Linked DNA regions of Kluyveromyces lactis. The protein of the gene in region 2 purifies or fractionates together with the protein of the main gene of each other region. This does not show direct contact. Links are inferred from orthologs where the notes say so. Each region holds a gene or a part of one and is shown on either strand. Other genes may lie near its edges.

The links.
Region 1: the proteins of KLLA0_D03630g (region 2) and COX2 purify together in Saccharomyces cerevisiae (affinity purification with western blotting; 3 studies listed by BioGRID, with this or other methods). This does not show direct contact. The link is inferred for Kluyveromyces lactis from reciprocal best matches to the Saccharomyces cerevisiae genes SCO1 and COX2.

Annotation. Positions count from the first base shown.
Region 1 is NC_006077.1:34,171-37,180, forward strand, and holds COX2 (cytochrome c oxidase subunit 2), read right to left. Parts: upstream 1,537-3,010; coding exon 766-1,536; downstream 1-765. Other genes in the region: VAR1 (ribosomal small subunit protein), read right to left, coding at 2,469-3,010. UniProt on the Saccharomyces cerevisiae protein: Component of the cytochrome c oxidase, the last enzyme in the mitochondrial electron transport chain which drives oxidative phosphorylation.
Region 2 is NC_006040.1:312,016-314,979, reverse strand, and holds KLLA0_D03630g (SCO family protein), read left to right. Parts: upstream 1-1,380; coding exon 1,381-2,319; downstream 2,320-2,964. Other genes in the region: type 2A-related serine/threonine-protein phosphatase SIT4, read left to right, coding at 1-737; OLA1 (Obg-like ATPase), read right to left, coding at 2,609-2,964. UniProt on the Saccharomyces cerevisiae protein: Required for the accumulation of subunits 1 and 2 of cytochrome c oxidase complex. Thought to play a role in either mitochondrial copper transport or insertion of copper into the active site of COX.

The DNA.
Region 1 (3,010 bases), on a different chromosome or scaffold from region 2:
AGTCGGAATAATTATTCTATTAATATATAATAAGCCTCTTAAAGAAAAATATTATTCTAATTATATTAATAATAAAAAATAAATAAATATATTAGGTAGGGCTTATTTCCCACCATATGGTGGGAAATAAGCCCCCCTCATTAGTATTATTTTATATAATAAATAATAATATTATAAATAAATATAATATATAATTATATTAAAATATATATATGTATATTAATCCGCGCCTCATCCTTTATAATGGATGAGGCGCGGATAATACTTTTCCCGCGGACTCCTTTAAAGGAGTCCGCGGGGGTTTATTATTAATATTATAATATATAATAAATAAGAATTACCCCGCGGCTCATCACCCTACATTCGTAGGGTGAGAGACCGCGGGGGAAAAATATTATTATAATAATTAATTATTATAATAATGGTTATCCTAAATTTATTACTCCCTACTCCCCCCCTTCAATATCTGCGCACCAATCGTGTGCGACAGGAAGGGGGGGGAGTATAGCATGAGATCAATAAATTATTTTTATACTCTTATTTATATATAATTATTATTATATTTAAAAATATAATATAATATAATATAATATAATATAATAATTCCGCGGATTCATAACATGAATCCGCGGGATATAAAATAAGTAAGAATCCCCGTCTCCTTGTGGGTCGGGAAGGTGACCGTGGGGAAACCCCTAATAATATTGTAGGGTTTGCAGGGAAAGAATATTATTATATATAATTTATTAATTATAAATTATATAATTATTGTTCATTTAATCATTCTAAGAATGCTGGTAATGAAACTGCTTCAATTTTAATAGGCATAGCTGAATGTGATTGTCCACAAATTTCTGAACATTGTCCATAGAATACACCTTCTCTTTGAATTAAAGCTGATACTTGATTTAATCTACCAGGAGCTGCATCAATTTTAATACCTAAACTAGGTACAGCAAAATCATGAATAACATCAGCTGCTGTAACAACAAATCTAATATGTGTATCAACAGGTACTACTACTGAAGTATCAGTATCTAATAATCTTAATTGACCATCTTCTAATAAATCTTCAGGAATAACATATGATTCAAATTCTACTGTTTCACCATTATCATTAATGAAATCTGAGTATTCATATTTTCAATATCATTGTAAACCAATAGCTTTAATAGTCATTGCTGGAGAAATAACTTCATCACATAAATATAATAAAATGAATGAAGGGAAAGCAATAATTAATAAAATTACAGCAGGGAAAATTGTTCAAATAATTTCAATAGTTTGACCATGTTTAATATATTTATAAGCAATAGGATTTTTACTATAAGTTCTTACAATTGTAAATAATAATCATGATACTAATCCTAAAATAATAAATAAATAGAACATAATATTATCATGTAATTCTAAAATACCTTCTTGATTAGGTGTAGCTGAATCTTGGAAATACATACCATAAGGTGTAGGTACATCATTCATAATAATTGAATTTAATAAATAAAACATATTTATAATTTTTTTTAATCTATATATATTCTATATATTAGATATTACATTGATTAATATATTATTCTCCCGCGAACTCATCCAACTAATGTTTTGATGAGTTCGCAATTAGGAAAAAAACTTATTAATAATAAATTATTATAAATAATTATAATAATATTAAATAAGTATATTGATATATTATTATTAAATTTTTATATTTTAATTGATATATTTAATATATATTAGAGATACGAGATTTGAACTCATGTCCTTCGCGTGTAAAACGAATGCTCTGCCAATTAAGCTAATCTCTATTATTATTATTATAATAATATTATACTTACTTATATCTATATAATAATATTATATAATAATTATTATAAATTCCCCCAATTGCGTATTCCTCCCCACCCCCCTTAAAGGGGGTGGGGTTTATTAATTATATTAACTCCGGGGACTCTTCCCAGGTATACACCTTATGGGAAGGAGTCCCCGGGAGAAGAGTATATAAAATTATTTATACACCCCGCGGCTTATTCCCTGGAATTCCAGGGAATAAGTCCGCGGGAAAAGTATTATAAATAAATTAATAAATAAATAAATAAATAAATAAATAAATTATTAATACTAATAATAAGTATTATACCCCGCGGGAAAATGTATATTATATATTTATTTATATATAAAATTAATAATATAAAATTAATTTTTATTAGTATTTAGAGGTCCTTAAGGAAATAGTAAGGAGAACGCGGGAAAGATATATATTAATTTATTATATATTATAAAATATTTATATTTTTACCCCCCCCTTCATATAATATGAAGGGGGGATTATATGTATATATTAATTTATTATATATTATATAATTATATAATTATAATATAAAGAAAGAAGCCCCACGCGGCATTACCCTAGGGTAATGCCGCGTGGGGGAAGAATATTGATTATTTATTTATTATTATTAATTAATAAATTAAATAGTATTTAATTTAACTTTAATATTATATTTACCATTTTTATTAACATCAGAAATATTAGTAATATTATGGTTAACAGGGATATAATTTAATTTATAATTATTAACCATTTGATTACCTCAAATATATTTATAGTTTTGGAATGTACCATTTAAAATATTCATTGTATTAGATCTAGAAATAGATTTATTATTAGATAATCTACCTTTTAATTGAATTGATCATCCTACTAAATATTTAAACATTAAAATATTATTAGGGATAGTATTAATATTATTATTTTCATAAATAATATTATATAATTTCCCCGCGGCTCCTCCCCTGGGATTACCAGGAGAGGAGTCCGCGGGGTTATTATTATTATTATTATTAATTGATTTAATAATATTATTATATTTATTAAACATAATATTATTAATATTATTAATATATGTTTGACTAATTAATTTATCATTTAATTTAGGCATATTATTCATTAAATTTTTAATTCTATTCATTGATAAACTTCTTTTAGAAGATGAATTCATAATTTTTAATG
Region 2 (2,964 bases):
TCAGAACTGCTGGTGGGTTTCCTGATCAAGTAAACTATATTTTTCTTGGTGACTATGTAGATCGTGGTTATTACAGTTTGGAGACGTTCACACTTCTTATGTGTTTGAAAGTGAAATATCCTTCCAGAATTACTTTGGTTAGAGGAAATCATGAGTCGAGGCAAATTACACAAGTTTATGGGTTTTATGAGGAATGTTTAAATAAGTATGGTTCCACAACGGTTTGGAAGTATTGTTGTCAAGTGTTTGATTTCTTAACTTTGGCAGCTATTATTGACGGGAAAATTTTATGTGTGCATGGTGGTTTGTCTCCCGAGATTAGAATGCTTGATCAGATCAGAGTTCTATCGAGAGCCCAAGAAGTTCCTCATGAAGGTGGCTTCTCCGATTTGTTATGGAGTGACCCCGACAACGTGGAAGCATGGCAAGTCTCACCTCGTGGTGCCGGATGGTTGTTCGGTAGCAAAGTCTCACGAGAATTTAATCATGTGAATGGCCTAAGCCTAATCGCAAGAGCTCACCAGCTAGTTATGGAAGGATTCAAATACCATTTTCCGGAGAAGGATGTTGTAACGGTATGGTCTGCACCTAATTATTGTTATCGATGTGGTAATGTGGCGAGTGTCATGAAAGTCGAAGATGATTTAGATCCAACATTCAAAATTTTTTCCGCTGTACCTGACGATTACATCCAAGAAACAAACAATAATAACCAAAGAGGTGGATATTTCTTATAGAGCGACATTGCAGCGGCCTTTTTGTCTGTATAATCTTCTATGCGAACTTACATCGGACTAAACATTCTTTTTCTCCTTCTATTTGAGAATTCCTTCTTAATATACTGTACACTAGAAATCAAACATTTACCTAACTTTTACGAATTCAAAGATATCCATCAGGAATTAGGATTTAATTGGAAAGTGGACTATAAACAACGTAATTTTTAATGGGTTGAAATCATTACTGAGAAACCAACCCCCCTGAAACTTAAATAGTCTAAAACCCGGTAATATATATAGATATATGTATTAATGATAACGTTTAAACTGCCATTATGTCTTTCACGAGGCTTCACAGAGTCCTGATCTAATCCAAACTAGATCATCGAATATATTCAATTTGATATGGAATCATATATAGAATATCGTGTGTAGAATAGGTTTTTTTTTTTCTTACCAGTATCTCTTCAGCTCCAAAGCTGCATTGAAATATTTAAAATTTCAAGAGCATTTTATACAAAAAATGTAGCCATATGATTGCACTTATAACTTTCATAAATGATGTGATACCAACAAAACGCAGCATTTTGGTTACTCACATCGGGAATAAACGGTTTAACAATAACAAGGATTGCTAATACAGTATCAACTATAAATTGTAATGTTACGCAGCATTGTTCGCGTCCCTAGTATTACTTTTGCTTCTAAAGAAGCAATGAGACCAGTGCTAAGGAAAACTACCTTGGCCCATTTTATGAATCATTACAGATCGTTATCCGTATCTGCAACCAAGTTACAAGAGATTAAGAAATATGACCCTGCCCCTGCAGTAGGTAGTCCAAAACCTAAGAAGAAGCCATTAAGTAGGATACCCATTGGCGGTGCTGAAACTCATACCCAAAAAGTTGATACAGGTTCTACCATCGAATTTACTACCTGGAAAGCAGCAGCTTTGTTCATTCTTATCGGAGGCGGGGTGTACTATTTCTTTAAAAATGAGAAGCAAAGATTAGAGACCGAGAAGGAGGCGGAAGCTAACAGAGGTTACGGTAGGCCATTGGTCGGAGGTCCCTTTAGTTTGATTGATTTTAATGGGAATCCATTTACAGAGAAAGACTTGCTAGGCAAGTTCTCTATCATCTATTTTGGTTTCAGTCATTGTCCAGATATTTGTCCAGATGAGTTAGATAAGTTAGGAGCATGGTTAACTGAGTTAAAGAAGCGTGACATCAATTTGCAACCTGTTTTCATTACTTGTGACCCGGCTAGAGATCCACCAGAAGTCTTGAAAGAATACCTAAGCGAGTTCCACCCTGACATTATCGGTTTAACTGGTGACTATGATGCCGTGAAGAATGCTTGCAAAAAATACAGAGTCTATTTCTCTACTCCACCAAACGTCAAACCTGGCCAGGATTATTTAGTTGATCATTCCATTTTCTTCTACTTGATGGACCCAGAAGGTCAATTCATTGATGCCCTAGGTAGAAACTATGACGAACAGACTGGTGTTGAAAAAATCGTCGAACATGTATCTGCTTATGTTCCAAAGGAAGAACGTGAAAAGAGAAAGGACAAATGGTATTCCTTCTTGTTTTAAACACATTTATCTTGCTTTCTTGTAAATAAATAAAGCGTGTTTCGCAACTTCATGTAAGCTCAGTATTTAACATTAACACATCAAATATACGTTTTCAGTAGGGTATTTTCATTCTTGAATTACGGACGTTACGTTAGCCATATAACGATGAGGCATGAAATTTATATATGAGAATTATGGACTGAAATTAACAACTAAAAAAGAGAAGTGGGGGCCTCATTGTTCGTGAGCAATATGCAAGCAATGTCAACCCTTGTAATATGACGGGTCCTATAATTGTGATGTTCTCTCAATTCTTACCGGCACCGGCTCTGAAGTAGATGATATCACCGTCTTCAACAACGTATTCCTTACCCTTCTGTTGCAATTTACCTGCGGCCTTAATGGCATTGTCATCTTTGTATTCGACCACATCTTCGTATTTCATAACTTGAGCTAAGATGAAAGTGTTCATTAAATCATTGTGAATGACACCTGCAGCTTGGGGAGCTTTAGTTCCTCTTCTAATAGTCCATTCTCTAACTTCATCTGGACCACAAGTGAAGAAGGAGATCAAATCCAACTTTTCTCTCATGGTGGTAACGATCTTTGGTAGAGCAGATTGAACGCCTAGGTTCTTTAGTTCTTCTTCAGCTTCTTCTTCTG